Linked DNA regions of Arabidopsis thaliana. The protein of the gene in region 2 interacts with the protein of the main gene of each other region in a pairwise test. Each region holds a gene or a part of one and is shown on either strand. Other genes may lie near its edges. The genes, in order: AFP2, AT4G23050, NAM and AT1G67800.

Region 1 (4,202 bases), on a different chromosome or scaffold from region 2:
GTCGACATTGCTATCTATGGCCATGCACATAACTACGAGAGAACATGCCCGGTTTACCAGGTAAACATCATGTACTGTACTGGCATATCGAAGAATGGTTCTTAAGAAAAGGGAATTATTCCATTGTTTGTTTCGTTTCTTGTCTGTAGAGTGTATGCACGAGTCATGAGAAGAGTAACTACAAAGCTCCATTGAATGGAACCATTCACATTGTTGCTGGAGGTGGAGGAGCTGGTCTTGCTGAATTCTCTGATCTTCAACCGAATTGGAGTCTGTTCAGAGACTATGATTACGGATTCCTTAAACTTACAGCCATTGATCACTCAAACCTTCTGTTTGAGTACAAGAAGAGCAGTGACGGACGAGTCCACGATTCTTTCACGATATCAAAAGATTACAGAGACATCTTGGCTTGTGCGGTTGATAGTTGTCCTGCAACTACACTTGCTTCATAAAAACTTTTCAACTGCTTGAGCTCTTCTGTACTCACTTGTTCCCTCTTCATTGTTAAACTGTTATAATGTTTACACATCAATTATACGCACTTTGCAGAGAGGACTTATATTAAACGCGAGAGCTCGAGAAAGAATCATTCGATGATGATACTTTCATGTTCACAAGTATTAGACCTAAGACAACATGAGAATCTTGATCTTCATCAAGATTTGAGGTTTTGGCATTCATTTTTATAGCCAAAAACCAGAGAGATCCAAAAGATAAAACAACAAGAAAAAAAATGAAACAGAGAACACAAGACCCTTCCGGTTTCTTCACCGATTCTTCGATTTAAAAGGTCGAAGAAGAGGTGTTGACAACGATATGCCGAAGAGGACGATCCACATCTCCACCACCACCATGTTTAACAAACTCAGCTGGTGTCAAGAAACTACCATGGCAAATGCACATTATCCTCACTTCCTCTCCTTTTCCATACTTGTACAGAATCCCATCAACCCGTCTTCCGTTTGGCCCGTCCCCTTTAGTAAACACACAAGGCATATCAACCAAACCAGTAGACGTAGCCATCCCTTTTCCTTTCCTATCCACCGAGTCTTCACTTCTCACTCTTTTTTCATTCTCATTCTCATTCACTTTGTTGGCTCTAGTCACACTCGGTCTCTCTGTTCCCTGGCTTCCGCTGTTCGATGAACATCCTGCCACGATTTTCGGGCTTCTTTCATCATTGCAGCTGTTTGATGATCCTACAACACATAGACTCAGATCACTCTTCCACTGAATACATTCACTCATTCTACAATTCCACAGGTTCAATGACAAATATCCAATTTTACATTTTAGTGTTACTAATCTTGTGTCTAAAAACCAACAATGTATTGAAATCTACCTTGCTGATTTTTGTTGTCTAGCTCCGACAAGCTCGATGAACTACCTCCTCCCGTTGCTCCTCCTCCATCGGAATCAACACCACAGACTTGTCTATTAGAAGAAACCAAATGTCTCTGCAAGAAGCCACTTTTACTCGCAGTAACCCATCTCTCATTCTCAAACGACACCGTTTGGTCATCAGAATTCCCAACTCTGAAACTCTGTTTCTCACATCTCCTTCTCTTAGCTTCCATTCTCCTAAGCGATTGCATCTCTTTCCTTTTCCTCCATTCCTCTTCCATCTCCGCCGGTAACGACGTCGTTCTCTCTAAACCCACCGTGTAATTCTCAGGCTCAGCCACAGTTGAATCGTTGAATGGTACAGTGTCCAAAACAGAAGAAGATCGTTTCAGCTTCCTCGGAGTCTTGTCTACTCCGAATCTACCACCTAAAGACAAACCAAGATTGAGCTCAATCGTACTCTCATCATCGCAGTTTGTTTCTCCGCCGTGAAAGACTCTTCCACCGCCGTTTTCAGACATGAAACCTCGTAACAGATCTCTCGGGTATTTATCTATGTCTAGAGAAAGATTTGTCGTAACCGTCATTTCTCTGTTCCATGCCCTTTGTTGTCTGCTTGCTTCACCCATAGATTCCGAAACAATAGAAAGAAAGAAAAAAAAAGTTTTTTGTTTTGTTTCTTCTTTGTTATAAGATGATGAAGAAGAATGAAAAACTCTGAATTTCACATCCGATCAAAAATCCAAAATTGTCATCATGAATTAAACAGTAAATCTCGCAAATTCATATCAAAGTAAAAAAAAAAAAAAAACTCGCCGGAGTTAATACCAGAGACGGCGAAGAAGACGAAGAGGTTATAATTGAAAGTGAAGAGCAGAGACAAAGAAGAAGACCCTTTTGGACATTAGAGGAAAAGAGAGAGAAGAAGAAAGAAAGAAAGAAAGAGAGACAGGCCTTGACTGAGAGGAGGCAAGTGGCCGCCGAGAGAGCTGCCTGAACGACACGTGGCCGGTGGATTACGTCGGCGTTCCATAGTGCTGCTTCAAGAAACGTGTCGTAAAGTGACTGAGTTATCCAGTGTCACGACACGTGTCTCCCAAGTAAAAAGATCCGTTTTCTCCTTTTTCCCCTTTTCTTTTTAATTTTTTTGCACAAGTTTTTGTAAAAGAGAAAAAAAAAAATCTCAAACTCGAAAAAAAAAAATATTACCTCAAAAATTAACAAAATCAGACATAAACGTATATAGAGAGTAAGAAAATGACAGACCTGATTAGTGATTACTTATGGTATCGTTGATTTATAATTTTACAATCTCTTGTAATCTTATTTATATTGGGAGAGTTAACAACAACATAATTTGAATATGATAAATCTAGCGACTCGACAACGTCACTCACGTGGGTTAGACCAAAGGACCCACGAAGCAAGCAAGTTGCTTGTGAAAAAGTGAAGGGAGAATAAAAACACTTCCATGTAAAAGTAATTGAATACTACTACTACACAAAGGCAATCATCAATAAACCATAGTATATAAACTAAAAGACTTAACAATGATAATATAAAGTAATTAACAAGGTAAAGTTTGATTATTGGCGACTAATCGTTTGATGGAGAAGAGTTTAGATTAGCATAATGAGCAATATAACTTAGTGAAAAAGTCTGATTATTATTGATTCAGTGACAGTTAGGTTTGAGAATGAAATCTATAAATCGAAAAGAAGATTTTTAGAATCCTTGGTGGGTCACTTTGTTGAGTCAAGTGGGGACGTCAAGATCTTTACACCATAAAAACCAAAAATGCTACGTGTTCGTCACCTGTTGGTTTGTGTAATAATGCAAACTTAGAGAATACTACAATACGTCGTCGTTTGAAGACCAACACCATTCACATCAAGCCCATAAGTTTAAGGGTTCGTTGCCCATTTGTTTTTTTCACTAGAAAATATTTTATTCGGTTTGGTCCTAAAAGATGTCTCAATCAATTGACAACGAACTTCCGATTAATTTTGGTTATGTGTAAACCGGACCAAATGAAGATGATTCAGAATGGAAGGTAAAAGTAATCATCAAATTTTTGTTATCCCAAACAAAATCTCAAAGAAGGGATTATCACCTAAGAGATAAACCTACTCCAAAAGAACTTCTAATCTCTCTCTCTCCCTCTCACTATCTCTTCCTATAAAACCTCAATTTCAAATGAACAACAATAACACAACAGAGTTTAACAAATGACTTCAAACTTGTTTAGCCTCTGGATTGAGTATTTTAACGGCTAGCTTCTACCGTACCGTTCTGATGAACTTTGCCATCACCATTGTGAGCCTCACCATTGCGTGATTCACCCCGTCTCTCAGATCCATTTCTTCCATAGCCTCGACCTCCATTGGAACCGTTGCCTCGAGGCCTATACCCATCGTTTCTGTAACCGTTGTCGTTCCTATAACCTCCGTTTCGCATTGCGGGTCTTCCATTATCGTTGTTGCCTGCAACGGAACCAATGGTTTCAGTTTTTCTACCCTGAAGTTGGAGACATTAGTACTAAACTTTACTTTGACTTACCTCGTTTCTCTTCTATTGAAACTCTTCGGTTTCCGATTCTGATGGCTGATTCTTTGTGAGCCTAGAGTTGTGTAGTAGAACATCAAAAGAAGAATCCAGTTTATAACCAAAAAGTTTGTAAGAAATATCGTTGATGTTGAAACATACCTGGAGGACCAATTTCACAGCTTCAGCAGATGCGAATGTCACAAAGCCAAAACAGTTTCCCTTGAGCTGCAAAAGAAAAACTTAATGAGGATTTCAAAAAAATTGGCTGTGAAACAAGTTTCTTCAAAAGATCCATTCAATAAACAACT
Region 2 (6,334 bases):
GACTTTATATTATTTTAAATTAAATATGCTGTCACTGTATTACGGTGACGGAGTATCCCTTTACAAGATTCCGCTTGGGTAATCGACACGGTCAATCAATCAATCACACATAAATAACACAAGAGCAAACACATGGTAAAGAAATTGGCATCAAAAAAGAAAATAATATGGTAAAGATGTTTCAATTGAAATATAGTTACATATAAATTGAAATACTACGAAATACATGCAAGGCAAAACAGCGAAAACTGTTAAAAAGTTTATTTGTCTAGAGGTCACAACCATGTGTTGTAAACGAAATATTACTATGCAGCTCGATGTGATTTGTTCTGACCTAACCAGACAAACAGACAAATATTTTCAATCCCCCAAAATTTCTCCTTTTTCAATACTTCTATAAGAGAAGTTCCCTTCACCCACGTCACATGCATGCACAATACATACTCGGTATAATAGACCCATCTTTGTATCCTTTTTTTTTTAATTATGCTTTTGTGACTGCGTCAATTTCAAGATGCTGTAATGTGGAATTACGAATAAGGATTGAAAAAAAAGTTTTATTTAGGGTTCTGACTCTCTCTTATAATTAGGTGCTGAGAAGCTACAGACGACGCAGTGATGGGAAGCTGTAATAAGAGAATATTAAAGCAAAAGAAGCAATGCCTACGAATTGTCACTCCTCCTTCTCTTACCCCATCAAACCAAAACCAACTACATTACAATTCACTACAAGACACCATCAATCTCACAGTTTTTCTCGTATTTCTCTTTTTCACCCTTTTACTTCTTAAATTACATCTGAGTCCTCCTCTGGCCTCTGCGCCTCTGCCTTTTTAGATCCCATTTTACAACTTAGCTCATAAACCGACAACAGTTTATATAATGCATAGTTTAACTAAACTAACCTAAGATTCTACTGTATATTACTTTGATTTAGCTATTTTTGCTTTCTTTCTTTCAATGAAAACATAAATAGTAGTTTGGTATAACACAATGAAACATTTGTATAGTAAGTGATCAGGACGATGCTTTCGTTTTCTTTTCACGTCCTTTGCTTTGTGAACTATCCTTTAACCATGTACTGTTTACCTTCTCAATCGTCTTCTTCTTGCGCACCTGACCCTGGTTTGCGGAACAGGCTCATCATCTGACTAATTAATTCCTCGAACGACGGTCGTTTTGCTGGATCACTGTTTCAACAATTTAGAACAAAGAATATAAGAAAAATCGCCCCTAAGTTTGTAGGGTGTATTTGATGAAACAATTTACAGATGCGTCTTCTTACGTTTGCCAACAATCCTGTATTATGGATGCGATCCGGGGATTTAATCCTTCAGGTAAGTCTAATCGTCGATCCATGAAACCAACAACTCCAACAACCTAATTTAAAGTTGCTAAGATTACTACAATCTTATGATCAAGCTATAATCTCATAAGAACAGAATTTGAGAGGTACCTGAATAGAGTTCAAACGGTCCCATGGTACTAACGTAGTCATTAGCTCCCATAAGATGACTCCAAAGCTGAACACATCACACCTATTACAACGAAAGCATTGAGCTTTTAGTCCAAAAAAATGTTCAAGTTATTGAATAATGTCTTCGAAAAGAGAACAAAAAAGGGTTAATATTATATCCAACGTACTTCTCATTCGAAGGTTCACTTCTGAGAACTTCAGGAGCCATCCACTGCGGCTGCACATAGAAAAAAGTTGAACAATGTTTAGTAACAGAAATCCAAGACTGTTTTGTGGATTAAAAGAATCAGAAATGGCTTTTGTTAAACATTACAGTTCCTTTCCCGGATTTAGTACTCAAGAAGGTTGCGTTCTTCCACTTTGATAACCCAAAGTCTCCAACCTAGGGAAGAAAGAGTTGAAAGTCCATGCAATAGTAAACTCATTTTACAAGTCTTCATAAATGTAACTTGAGAAAACTGTTTGTACCTTGACATTCCAGTTCTTGTCCACGAGTAGATTGGAAGATTTCAAGTCTCTATGTACAATTGGCGGATTTCTGCGGTGTAAGTAATTCATTCCCCTAGCCTGCAACAACAACAGAGAACCCGAATATAATCAGCCTTTCATATTTTTTTCTTTCATTGTGAGGGAGGTTTTTGGAAGATCAGAGTCTTACAACATCAAGGGCCATTCTTAAACGGCGTTTCTTGTCCAATGGCTGATTCGTATTATGAAGTATTTTGAAGAGACTCCCTCTAATCATCAAAACCGTATAGAAATAACTTAGCACAGAGTATTCATCTGCAATTTCTTGCAGCATAATATAACACACTCGATAAGGAGTAACACTACTTCCAGATCCATACGTCAATAATCTCACCTTGGCATATATTCCATGATTATGGCAGATTTTTCTTCTGTACATACTGCTCCCATAAATAGTAGCACATTCGGATGTCTCAGTTTCTTCATAATGTTGATCTGAAGATATTATTGATCAAAACTGATTTATTTTGTCTGGTACGAGTAACTTCTAGAAACAATTCATAACAGAGAGAACTAATTATACATACCTCCTTTTTGCACTCCGTCAAAGTCATCGCATTGTAATCACCATCGAAGTAAACCTTAATAGCAACATCCTGGTCCAAATAGATTGGACTAGTTAGTTATCCATGTGCAACTAATACTAGAATCATCCTTATTTTATCTTAAATTACAGAAAACTCACCGATCCATTCCAAACTCCACGATGAACCGCAGCAAATGAACCTGTGAGAAAATGTAACGCATCAGAAATACTTGTAATCTGATTTAAACAGCAATGACACAGATCTGAATTGAATTTGCATATCTAAAACGTGAAAACGAGTGTAAGACTTTGGTAAATGAAATACACCTCTTCCGACCTCCTCCCCAAGTTGTAGATCTTCCCATCGTATCTCACATGACGAATCAGTAACTAATCTATTATTCCTTTGGTTGACAGGACTTTGTTGCCTACCGCTGTTGACTCCTAGAATTGGCAAGGGATCAACACTAAGACGAGTATTCCAAGCATCTTCTATCTCACCATTTAGGTCCGACATTTTTGTTCCCCGCATGCCAGACACCAAACCACTCTCTAGTCCTCTGGGAGGTTTACTTTGTCCCAGGTTCCCAATATACTGAAAGCGATCTCCATTATGTATCAAACCCTCAGCTCCATTTCCATAGACATCTGAAATTCTAACTTCAGCCCTTTTTGGTTTTCCATTGCCATTGTCTCTGAAAGCCGTGCAGGTAACTGCATTAGAAGCCTTAGAACTACCTCCACTGCCACATGCTGACTTATTGATACCGTTTCTTAAGATAGGCTCATTATCTTCGGTTCCTTGGCTGCCAGTAATCTTCCTTTGCAGCTTCCCCAAAAACTTATCCGCCTACACTAGTGTATATGCAGATTTAGCTTATAACATGAGACAATAATCGTTCTAAGAAATGTCAATGAGAAGTGTCTTGTTTAAGGAGCCAACGAAGACTTACCAGTGAGCCATACTTCTCGAAAGTTGTGGAGGCAACAACCGGAACATTTTCATCTCGGCTCCTCGAATTATGATTTCCATTGAAGGAATCATCTCCATTTCTCTGTGGTAGAAGCTTCGACGCCTTCTTGGTTTGTGCAGAAAACAGCAAAACAAACAATCATTCATGTTGCACACGAATTATTATATAAAAAAAAGTACTGAGAAACTTCGAACATTCATGATGTGAGATCTACCAGGTTTGAAGCAACAGCTGATGAATATTGTGGGACAACTGGAACCTGTGATGCTGCAGCGATCTGAGGCCTCGGGAGGTGCCACTGATGTTTTCTCAAGTTTGATTCATGTCTATTATTACTACGAGCTTGTTGTTGATGCTCATTACTTAGTGGATGCATCCTATTGAAAAGGGTTGCATCGCTCGAGACAGTAACAACACCAACCAGCTCACCGTTTTCATACACAGGGCTTTTAGTCACCAAAGCCATAAATAGTTCACCAGTTTTCTTCTGAAACGGAAACTGACCAGTCCAAGTCTCTCCACGGCACACCCTATTCCTGATACCAGTAAGGGAATTACGGTATTCTTCGGTTACAAGCACATCAATAGTTCTGTAGCCAACAACTTCCTCAGCATACCAATGGTACAGATTCTCAGCAGAACGACTCCTGAATAATAATAAAAGAATCTCTCCACTCAGAAACAAATAGTAAATGTCCACTTGCATATACAATGAATCGCTATATATAACTTTGTTTAACTACTTAAACACACAATTCAATGAAACAGTACTTAGAAGAACTATAAGCTCCTGATCTACAAACACCATAGATGAAGAAGAAGAACTTATCAAGCTCACCAGAATGTAATTTCTCCAGACGCAGCTGATGTTACATGAATCGCGTGTCCCATTGAATCCATCAAAGTCCGATACGCACTATCAGCGAAATAGAATCCTGAAACAGCTCTCTCCCAAGTCGCCGTCGGATTATCCCAGGAATCCGCCGCCTCCGCTTCCACCTCTACCTCAGCCTCTTTCTCCGTGTCCGTCTCCAATCCCGTCGCCGATTCCTTACCGGTTCGACTCTCCTCCTGAAGCAATAAGTCATCAACATCCTCCCTTAGTCTCGCTTGACTCGTCTCCATCCTCTGACACCACTCCACCAAAACCTGGTAGAGACTCGATTCCGAGTTGTTTCCGGCCATCGTAATCGCCGGTGACTCTGTTTGAGCAGTCGCATCAAGATCCGACTCTGATGAAAATTCACAAATTAAAAATATAATTTAAAACGTTGGCATTCCCTCATTGTTTATTATTTTTCAGCTGCTTCTTAAATCACTCGTGACGCCATAATTAACAAACCCCAGCTATTATAAACACTACGACGCATTAGCTTACGCCACGTGTGTTTGTTACTAATAGGATGCTGCCACTTGTAGAATTGCCGATGTAATTGAAGGTTGAAGAAGATTGAGAGATAATAGACGAATTTGTCACGATTTAAAAGTGGTGATTGACGAAATTAACCTCAATATAATACCCATTCTTGTTGCCGCCATTGCCAAATGGGCCTGAGTTTGATGGTGTTTTTATACCTCCAACGGTATTTGTCAAGAAGAAAATAAAATACACGTCTCTTCAATGTTCACATTCACATTCCTCTAAAAGTAATGTGCCCAATAAACTCAAAGTTCAAGTTGATTGAAGAACAATAACAATAAATTATAGTTGAATTTAAATGTAATCAATTATTAGTAGTATACTTCAAATCATTGTAGAATAATACTCTCCATAAGGTTTCTTAGAGGAAGCAAAGTTTAATTGGAGTCACAAAGCTAGTTTTGTTTCAATTTATCTAAAGATTTACTTTGTTTCTGGGACACAAACTGAAAGCCAACCCTTTTTTTTGGACAAAAACGACAATTCTTATATTACAAACGGCCGAAAGAGAACATGACAGCTCCTTTAAAGGCACTATATAGAGGGAAGATTGGGATGATCATAAAGTGAGGATATCTTTGGATATTTTAGTTTTGGGTTTGGTTTTGGTTTTTCGTTGTTGGACCGAAAAGCCTTTACATTTTAAGGCTTATTTCCATATTTACTGTCAAATTGACAAATAAAATATGTAATTGGTGTGAAAAAAAATAAATTATGTAACTTTTTTTTTGTACATTAAAAATTATCTAACTTTTAATGTATATACACTATAACAATTAATATCATGTTAAAAAAAAAGGTCAAAAAGTTCTTGGCTAGTAAAAACTAAAAAGATAAGTTTAATCCACTCTGAATTTGACTCGAATTCCAGTTTATAAAATATAAAGACTCTGAAAAAAAAAATCCAATTTCAACTGAATAATTATTTATTTAGTTATTCAGATTAGGACACTCCATATATTATCTCAAGTTCTCTGAAAATAATATCTTGAATATCACCGAAAATATACAAAAAGAATAAAGAAAATAAAGTTTAAGAAAATCCACACCAAATAAAAAAGGAGAATTAAAAAAAATGGAAAAGAAGAAAGACCCTAAAAAAGGCTTTAAAAATCTTAAGAGTCACCGATCCAATTCCTTTCTTCACTGCAATTTTTGTGATTTACAACATATATTAATTCTTGCCTCCTCCTTCACTCCAGCTCCAAACACAAATCTCCGACGAAAAACTTCTCTCAAGCTTTCTCTTTTCTAATGGCGACACCTACTCAGGAAGCTATTGACACCTTCATGACCATCACCGGCTCTTCCAATGCCGTCGCCGTTCGTAAGCTCGAGGTGATTCAATTACACTTCCCTGGGTTTTTTCCGTCTTCCTTCTATTGTTTAGATGTTATTTTGTTTTTGAT
Region 3 (4,272 bases), on a different chromosome or scaffold from region 2:
AAGAAGAACATATATATTAGAGAGACACTAAATTTTGGAAACTAGTAATTAAATTGTGTTATGAACTCACCAACATGTGCATAGAGGATCGGCTAACACATCGCTGACAGTAGCATTCTGCCTTTCGAGTTGATTAGCTTGAACTTCATTACTTGCCATGGGAATAGCTTCTCTTTTCTTGGAAATCAAATTTGGTTAAGGATGGTATAAATATAATATAAAGAGATGGATATGTATGCCTTTTTTTGTTTAATATAAACGTAATATTGTGTTTTTTATTATTCTACTCAGCATCAAATTTGTATTTATCATTATGAAAAGAAAAGAAAAAAAAAATGATTAAAGATGTCCATTACATGTATTCGATTCGAATTTAATTATGAACATCATATTTATTTTTTGAACATTGTTTTTACAACAAGTGCAACATTTGTTTGATCTAACAAAAAGATTAAAACTTTTCAGTTTAAAACTATTGATTCAAACCAGATTTGAAGGCCCTTTGTCGTATCTTTTATCTCCACTTATTTTGATTGCCAAGATTTGGTTCCGAACATGTTTTCGACAAAGTCAAATAAAAGCTCCGCCAGATAGTTTCATTATCGTCTGTTTCTTATAAGTTAGGGTCTTCTACCAAATAGTATTTCTGATGTCACTTTAAAATCATGTTTTTAAAAAATAAAATTTGCAGCAAAACATGCGAATGTTGAAGCTGATAGTACTGAAAATAAATAGCTGAAGAAAAGCACAAGGGTAATCTAGTTTCTATAACTGTTAATATATTTTTATATATATGCATGCATTAATTTATACAAGCTACAAACATCTAAGTATAATCATCACCTATACATTAGTAAAAATAATAACATGAAAAAGAAAAGAAAAGAATATTTAAACTATTGTTGTATAATTTCTATATGTTACCTTATACCTCTCCTCCAATCTATTTAATTTAATCTCCTTAGTTCTATAACACTACAATAATAATCAACCGTAAATAAATCCCCCAATGCCCCCTAATCACTCAAACCGTATATATATACACAAATTTTAAAAATTCTTCATCGTAAATTGTTTTCAAGAATACCAATTCAAACCAGGCAATTGGTAAATCCCACCTTGGTTCTGCATTAACGGCGTCGCCGCCATAGAAGTCGAACAATCTCCAACGCCGCCGCCGTTAAATCTCTTGCTAGGTGACGACGACGATCCAATACCGGAATCTTGATTTAGACTAGTCATCATCATCACCGGTGGAAACAACTGCTCCTGCTTTGATCCAGATGCGAAACAATGATTCATCGAGTAACTTCCACCTCCGTATCCGCCGCCGCCACCATCATATATAGCCGTCGGATCATTATTGTCAGAAAAAATCGCCGGGAAGTGAAGACCAGGAGGAACATGACGGAATCGATCATCATCAATCATCATATCATGACGATGATGATCATTATCTAGATGAATATGATGAAGATGATGATGATGTCTAGATGCTGTACTATTGTTTTTCTTGTAGATACGACACAACACCCAATCATCAAGCTACATAGTAATAAAAAGAATCAAAAATTAGCCAATCAAAACTTTTCTTTTAAAATCAAGATTTTAAGAATATTATAATAATATACCCTGAGAGAGTTTTTCTTGTTGCCGAAGTCACAAATATGAGTAGGTTTATTATCAGTTAACCGATATTCATGCATAATCCAATCTGATTTAACTCCTTTTGGTGGTTTACCACTGTAAAACACTAGAGCCTTTTTAACTCCCACTTTTTTACTACCACCACCGCCGGTTGAAATCACCGGTTTATCTGTACCAGTCGCTTTCCAATAACCGGAAGTCGCAGCTCGGTTAGGTCTAGCTCCGTTGGGATATTTCCGATCTCTTGGACTGAAAAAATACCATTCTTGTTCTCCAAACGAAGCTTTCGCTGTCACAATCAAGAACACAAAAAAAAACAAAAATCAGTAAAAAAAAAAATGAAACAGATCTGATCGGATTATGATCTTGGTCTTGTTTCAACTTACCGGGAAGTTCCCATGGATCAAATTTGTAAAGATCAACGTCGGCGATGATCGCGACTGGTAAAGGAACAGAATCTGCTTTGCGTTTGAGGTAATGAATTACAAGTTCTTCGTCTGTTGGATGAAACCGGAATCCTGGAGGGAGGTTTGGTTGCGGCGGCGGAGGACCACCGGAAGAATCTGTACTCTCCATTAAAATGATGATCGGAGAATATTTTTTATGGTTTGAGAGAGTTTTAGAGAGTCGGCGTTAGTAATCTTTCTTTTTAAAAATGGAAGGCATTAAAACGACAAATCAAAATGGCTTTTATCCTCTGGAATCTTTTGTACGTAGACCATCGTATCCACTCGTATTTATTTACAATTTTTGAGAATTTTTTTTGTATTAAAACCATAAATGTCTATGAGATTTTTTTGTTACACATCAAATGGTATTTCTATTTATATTTGTGGAATATGGACGATCAAAACGTATTAATTACCGTAGCTATCTAAATCAATAGTTTGTGTTACAGTTTAACCTATTGTAGAGATCTAATATATTTAATATGTATAGCTGTACGCTATGTAGTTATATATGTAGATTAGCAACAGGAAAAAGGAATAAAATGTCATACCAAAAAAAAAACGTTTTGACCCATATGTGTAGGAAGGTGTAGGTAAAGAGATTTCTATCATTGATTTCAAATTAAAATAGATGATGCTATCTTATCTTCGTGAATCATGAGAGAGTACATTTAATTTGCTTTGTTGATCCTTTTCACTAATTAATTTGATCTATATGTACTTAGCTAGAATTAAATCGTAGTTTATCTTTCATCTTCTGTAGATTTCAATTCATAAGATGATAAAACCATTTGTTTTTTGTAAAGTTTGTTTGACCTACAAAATACTGTTAATCTCAGATTAGTGTTTGTAATTAACAATTGTACCCCAAAAAATAATATTTTATTATTTTAGACCCGGAATATTAGAATTTGTTGGCAATCAATAATAATACATAATCTCCCATAATTCAGCCGAGTTTAGTGTGGTTTGGTTTGTACTAAAAGGAGATAAAGAGTGGCGACAATTCGACACATATACAAAGTCTGACTAATCATGTCGAATCTTTTTAAATTACGATACTAACCAAGGCAAAGGAGGGTAAAATAGTGATTTCGGAGTCGATAATGACTTTCTTAACCTCTTTAACCATGCATTATCGTCTGTGTTCATATAGGCTCAAAGTGTGGCTTGACACGAGCGACCATTAACAACGATAGCGATTGTTTTCATCCAATAAGCATATATATATTTTTGTCTCTATAGTAAGTTATAATAAAAAAATTAAAAAAAATTATAATAACAAAAATCATATAAGAAAAGTGCACGGCACTATTAATTTAGTTTTTTTATCTATAAAATATTTTTAAAATAATATATACTTTAATAAATTTACATGGAACTTGCAAGGTTTCAACCAACCGATTTATTATTGTTTTACGTGGTAGTTTTTTTCATCATCCCTAAACTTAAGTGGTATACTATATAGTTTTACCTTTTAACGGTTAAACAAATACTTTAAAATAGAATAATTTAAAATTTAATGAAAACAGAATATAAATTAAAATATTTTTTACCAATGCAAAAACTTCTACGTATCACTTTTTTTTTTTGATTATCATGTGTGGACAAATAACTGAAGGTGCATGCTTCCAATAGTACCGTGTTATTCTGAGTACATTACGTCGACACGTGGCAAGCTGTAAAATGGGACCCGCTTAAGTGCCACACAAGGCAACAAAGTGAAAATTCAAAAAAGCTTTTTTACGTTTCAAATGTCATATCACGCTTTTGTATTCCCTTTGTATTTTGTGACCATTGGAATTTTATAAAGAAATTCATCAATTAACAAAAAATTAATTAATTATCTTGATAATTAATATATAACAATATATTATTTAATATATCTATTTTTGGTTATGAGTTACATAACAATATAAGCAAGAATTACCAACTGTTTGAGTAATGCGAAATTTTATTATTTTCACACTCTAATTTTTATTATTTCTTAAACCTTTAATCGTTGGTTTATATATATATATCAGACCTGATGCGTTTTTCTCACAAACTAATTTTCTATACAAATAGATAAAGAGATAATGAAAGGATTATTTGAGGGTGGCAATGAACGGATCTTATGAACTTTTTTTCGTCACTAAAAAGTAAAAAAAACTAAACTTTGACTTAGTGCAAATAA
Region 4 (5,137 bases), on a different chromosome or scaffold from region 2:
AATATGTATTTACTAAACACAAAACAGCTTTGTCTCTTTGGTTTGCGTGATAAAAATATTAGTAGGGTCCCTGAAACTAAAGATTGTTGAGCAATATGACTGGAATCTTATTCAAAGACTTGAAACATAGCTTTATCTCTTTTTCAGATTTGAAAATCTACACATCTTATCACTGTGGTAATACTTTTCGTGATGAAAGACACACACTAGATTTATTCTGGGTAAGCAAATGAATGAATGGAGAGGATCACCGCCCGGACTGCTTAACCGCATATACGTAAAACTAATACAAACTTGTGGAAGAGTAAGAAAGAATAGCAGACTCAGATTGGGATCTTGTTCATTACTGAGGGAAGAAGACCAAGAAAAGTATATCGCATATATTCTTACAGTAAAAAGTGATCAGTTTGATAGAAACCTATAATAGCCTTTGTGTTTTTGCCATCTTTCGTTGACAGTTACATCAATTATGAATCTTTAACGACAGAGAATAGATACGACCCCATAAGATGTCAATTATGGAAGTTAAAGCAGGACCATCTGGGCTACTGTGTTGAAGACTAGATGTTTCAAACAAGAAAGGTATATAGTAGTGTGTTGTTTGATACATATGTCATAGGACCATTCAAGATTCAAATTCTTTTAAGTAAAAATGTGTAACCGCAGAGAAAGGATCCTTTATTCACGAGAGAGTCTGCTGTGGTTTTTTCATGTGCAATGAGAATGCAAAATTGACAACAGATTATCTACAAAACCTTTGAGAGGAACCGGTTATTCCCCTCAAAGTAAAAACAAATGTTAGGACACTGGTAAATGAGATCTAAGTTGGGATGGTGTTGGCTGTGAAAGATCTCAGACCACCTCGGGTTCCTTCAGTTCTTGAGAGACTTATCTTAATAAAGCTTGATACGAACCGAGATTGAGCTCCGGCAAATGGGACACACATGGAGGTCTTCCCCACATCCAGCGCAAGTCTGATGAGCAAAATAAGAAAAACAAAGGAAAGTTAACGATTTTGATTCAAGTGCGATGCTTAGGTAACTCGGGAGTGGAAATGCACCTGATGACCACAATTGAAAGCCATGTTCTTTGCACTCACTAGACATACGGGGCAAAACTGTTGCTGTTTATCCAACAAAAAGATGTGACGAGCAGCAAAAGATTATCAATGCATTGTTGTTTCTTTCTTTGTAAATCATACCTGGCTCTCGTTATGAGTAGTTGAAGGTGGTGTAGAGGAAACACCATTATCATATGGTTTGTTTTGAAAACTGGTTGATCGGGAAGTTCTTGGGCTGTTGCGCATAGATTGAGTAGCATAAGTTGGTGGTGGAAGCGCAATCCTGTCTGGACAATGTCCGGTTCTTTGTCTGCAAATTCGAAACAAGGAACGAAATTGGCGGTTATTGAGATCAATTCATAAATGCTGCAGTGATGAACTCAAATATCTGAATTTACTTACCCAAGTAAGCCTAGTTCGAGGGTGGCTTTATACTGAGACGGGATCTCCATCAAGGCAGAAAGCGCGAATTCTGCCTCTTTTCTTGCTGGATCAATGTTCTTTGACATTATATCCGTGAAATTCACAAACTGAAAGGATTCAAATAGACAACAAAAACCTTTGAAATTGATACATTTGCCAGGAAAAAGACAAGGGATCTATCTACACTATTGTAGAAACATGTTGATATTATTACCTGGAAATTGTCAAAGGCACGAGCGGGGATGTTGTCATCAAACTGTCTCATGGTGTCCCAGGGACCATCTCCAACACCAACAAGAACTATAGACAAAGGATATTCACTGCAACAGAATCCACCACAAGTTAGAGAGACACAGTTTGAAATTGGATTTTCGTCAAAGGAAATAGTATTTATTACCTTGCTCTAACAATGGCATCAATAGTCTGCTGCTCTTGTGGACTGAATCCACCGTTATCTGTATCAACACTTCTTGTCACCTGTCATAGTTAAAAGCTCCAATGGTAACTATACAGTACACAAATGTCTGGGAATGATTATAACTAAACACAAATAGATACAAGAAATACTTTCTCTAGTCGAATTAGGTTCCAATCTTTACCTGTCCATCAGCGATAATGAGAAGAACATGGTACTGGCCACCACTTTCTTCCACAATTGTCATGGCCCTTTCGATGATAGGTGCAAAAGATGTCGGACCTGTAAGAGAAGCAGCAAACTATAAGGAAAAAGTACAGCAAGATTCAGAAGACATGCAGAAGAAAAGGGATTATTCATCTCACTCAACCTGAGAGACGAAGCTGGGGAACAATCTCTCTGTAACACATGAGAACTTCTTCAAACCCGTTACAATATGTATCATTGGGATTGAAACTGAAGACATCCTGATCATGAGTTGTAGCTGCATAGTCAAAGAGAAACCAACCTTAAAATCTATTCTAGACAGGAACTTAACAGCTACATAAAAACAATCAGGGTTTGTACCATCTCCAAATCCATAACAGGGGATCAAATTATCCTCATCAAAAACCGATAAAGTCTTTCCAATGATGGAAATAGCTTGTTGATAAGGGTTTGGAGTAGTTCCAATGAAATGCAGACTCTTCCTACCAAATGATCTCGCCCCTAAATCAAATCACCCAAGTCAGCTTCCAGGTCAAAGAAACATATACTAAAACATTGAGATAAATTCTCTAACCTGTCCACTCGTTGCTCTTGGTGACATCTATACCAACAATGAGATTCGAGGACTCCAAACCGGCATGTGAAAGAGCAGCGGTAACCTAAAAGAAAAGAAATATCAACAAAACACCAATAGAGAGATTCACAAACCGACACAACGACCTAAGAGACAAACAAACAAAAACAAGAGTGATCATCAAACCTCATCAATGGAACGGTAGTTATCAGCAATCCGTGAATACTTCCTCTCAAGATTCTTCGGTGTTTGTCTCCCAGAATTATAGGATGAAACAGGAGACGCAGATGGATGGTTTGGTGTCTGATAATAGCTGCTCTGGTCCCAAGCAGACGAATAAGATGAGCTCCCAGACACACTACGTTCATACCTACGACCACTTCCACCTCCTCTAGGTGACTCTTTAGAGCTACTTCCTCCCATCCAAGACAACCAAACCCAAAACAAGATAAACAAAACAATCGCCTGCAACACTTCAAGCATATGTCAAAAAATCAGATTAAGCCAACAACAAAGTTCCCTTCTTATCAAAATCAAACACGCATATATAAATATGAGAGAGCTTATTGACTCTGAAACAGATCCAAAGTTTGGATTTTTTCATCAAAGTCTTCACCTTTTACATTGTTTAAACACGTTTGACTCGGTAAATTTCACATTCATTGCCTAATAAACTAATATATATCAGTAAGTCGCTTTCAGGAGGATTATAGCATCGCCGTGAAATACAAGGAAATTCTCAAAGTTTTTCCGGCGAGAAATGATAAATTAAGGGAAGACCCAATTCGGAAAATTACAGGAAACAAGGGCTTTACGAGTTGACTGGTTCAAACTAATTGAGAGAGTCACAGAGAGAGAGAGACGTTACCTGTAATCGAATCAGCCCAAGGATCTCTTGTGAAGTTGATTTTTTTAATTCACCAATTGTGACGTTTATATACGTATCCATTTCACAAAAACAAAACAAAAAATAAGGGAAGTAAACTTATAGTAATTAAAATTTTAGTTTGATAATTAAATTTTTGGGGGATCATATACCATAAGAAAAAAATTAAAATAAAATTTTACAATTACAATCTATGCATATTTTTATCCTACCAAAAAAATCTATGCATATTTTTATACTTAATTTATTAATTTTATAAATATATATTTTTTAAATAAATTAAGATTTCTTGAAGATATGGAAAAACGAAATTGAAATATACAGTAGAAATATTATTTTATTTCTTACATGATTTTCAATAATTTATTTATATTTATTATTTTCTTGCAAAAGATAAATTATCACATTTTCCTTTGTTTTTGTTAAAATTTTATCTTCCCCTGCATAAAAGATTTGACTAAATGCTAGATACAGTTCAATATATTACTATTAAGTTATATACTATCATCCAACAAGAAAAGTTGAACAGCAACTCCACAACCAAATAACCCAAGCTATGAACCTTAAGAAATTTAGACATGAAAAGTTGATAAACACTTATATCTTTATTTTATTGTTAAACATATAATGATATAAATCAATACAATGTGTTAACTTCTCATTATATGTTATTTAACACATTGTATTGTCACCACATATCTCTGTTTTCTTAGTTACGTTTTTTTGAGTTAATGATAACATCATAGATGTAAATGTTAAGTAGAAACAGTGTGTGACAGAGCATGATACAAAAAGTGTTTTATTTCAATATTTTACTTTTCTTAAAGTTCACATTTTTATTCTATAACACACAATACATAGATAGAGGCACAAAGACTTGCAAGCACAAACGAAAGAAGAGGGAGAGATAACAAAGATATAAGAGAAGAAAAACACACCGAACTACAGAAGAAGAATTTTGTTAATCTCGAACCCATTTCGGTTCTTTGATCACGATAAGTGGATTTACGCTTTCATCAAAGATGCAGTTAGATTTTTGCCTAAAACCGCGTAAACCGAGCTCCATCCTGCCTGAGTAGGGTGAAGTACATCCCAGAAGAAAGTAGACTTAGGATCATCGCATAAGGTATAGTTCTTCTGACCTTTCTCGTCCACAACCCCACAAACACCTCCTCAACATTCTTTCAACGGAGTTTTAAACCGCGTACTCCCTACATTTCCATAACCAATCACACAATATATAAAAGCCTTGAAAATATGGATTTCAAGAATGTTGTGTTTTACTTTTTCTTAACTGGAGTCTCTCCATTGTTCTTGAAAACGGTCAAGAAGGCGTTGTAGTAATCAATGAACATGAAAGTCGAATCCTTGGTCTCTTTGTTGAGCGTGGCCAGTAGTGTCTTCAACTTGTTGTTGTGATAGATCACTAGCCCGTTTACAGCTATAATGCAATCCTTGACTGTGGAGCCTTTGGAGATGAAGGGGATAGTTAAATAATGTTATTTGGAATTTTCCATATACATAATGGAATCTTCTTAGTTTATTATCTACTATTTTAAGTGATCTAAATTC

The links.
Region 1: the proteins of AT4G23050 (region 2) and AFP2 interact in a two-hybrid assay, tested with the Arabidopsis thaliana proteins (one large-scale study listed by BioGRID).
Region 3: the proteins of AT4G23050 (region 2) and NAM interact in a two-hybrid assay, tested with the Arabidopsis thaliana proteins (one large-scale study listed by BioGRID).
Region 4: the proteins of AT4G23050 (region 2) and AT1G67800 interact in a two-hybrid assay, tested with the Arabidopsis thaliana proteins (one large-scale study listed by BioGRID).

The regions. Positions count from the first base shown.
Region 1 is NC_003070.9:4,711,743-4,715,944, reverse strand, and holds AFP2 (ABI five binding protein 2), read right to left. Parts: upstream 2,513-4,202; 5' UTR 1,977-2,512; coding exon 1,346-1,976; exon of another isoform or gene 1,203-1,345; coding exon 787-1,202; 3' UTR 538-786; downstream 1-537. Other genes in the region: AT1G13750 (Purple acid phosphatases superfamily protein), read left to right, coding at 1-60, 150-455; AT1G13730 (Nuclear transport factor 2 (NTF2) family protein with RNA binding (RRM-RBD-RNP motifs) domain-containing protein), read right to left, coding at 3,613-3,830, 3,907-3,967, 4,054-4,119. UniProt on the Arabidopsis thaliana protein: Acts as a negative regulator of abscisic acid (ABA) response during germination through the ubiquitin-mediated proteolysis of ABI5/DPBF1.
Region 2 is NC_003075.7:12,078,468-12,084,801, reverse strand, and holds AT4G23050 (PAS domain-containing protein tyrosine kinase family protein), read right to left. Parts: upstream 4,743-6,334; 5' UTR 4,691-4,742; coding exon 4,344-4,690; intron 4,153-4,343; coding exon 3,720-4,152; intron 3,611-3,719; coding exon 3,485-3,610; intron 3,382-3,484; coding exon 2,859-3,381; intron 2,732-2,858; coding exon 2,691-2,731; intron 2,602-2,690; coding exon 2,533-2,601; intron 2,441-2,532; coding exon 2,340-2,440; intron 2,215-2,339; coding exon 2,136-2,214; intron 2,045-2,135; coding exon 1,946-2,044; intron 1,860-1,945; coding exon 1,791-1,859; intron 1,695-1,790; coding exon 1,645-1,694; intron 1,539-1,644; coding exon 1,457-1,538; intron 1,381-1,456; coding exon 1,286-1,380; intron 1,191-1,285; coding exon 1,094-1,190; 3' UTR 546-1,093; downstream 1-545. Other genes in the region: AT4G23040 (Ubiquitin-like superfamily protein), read left to right, coding at 6,180-6,263.
Region 3 is NC_003070.9:19,688,208-19,692,479, forward strand, and holds NAM (NAC (No Apical Meristem) domain transcriptional regulator superfamily protein), read right to left. Parts: upstream 2,383-4,272; 5' UTR 2,224-2,382; coding exon 2,034-2,223; intron 1,937-2,033; coding exon 1,632-1,936; intron 1,546-1,631; coding exon 1,078-1,545; 3' UTR 501-1,077; downstream 1-500. UniProt on the Arabidopsis thaliana protein: May encode a transcription factor involved in the elaboration of shoot apical meristems (SAM).
Region 4 is NC_003070.9:25,420,136-25,425,272, forward strand, and holds AT1G67800 (Copine (Calcium-dependent phospholipid-binding protein) family), read right to left. Parts: upstream 3,530-5,137; 5' UTR 3,163-3,529; coding exon 2,866-3,162; intron 2,765-2,865; coding exon 2,680-2,764; intron 2,607-2,679; coding exon 2,466-2,606; intron 2,383-2,465; coding exon 2,269-2,382; intron 2,181-2,268; coding exon 2,083-2,180; intron 1,961-2,082; coding exon 1,881-1,960; intron 1,804-1,880; coding exon 1,698-1,803; intron 1,591-1,697; coding exon 1,463-1,590; intron 1,371-1,462; coding exon 1,202-1,370; coding exon of another isoform or gene 1,196-1,201; exon of another isoform or gene 1,124-1,195; coding exon 1,061-1,123; intron 975-1,060; coding exon 894-974; 3' UTR 511-893; downstream 1-510. UniProt on the Arabidopsis thaliana protein: Together with RGLG1, mediates the ubiquitination and subsequent proteasomal degradation of the target protein PP2CA.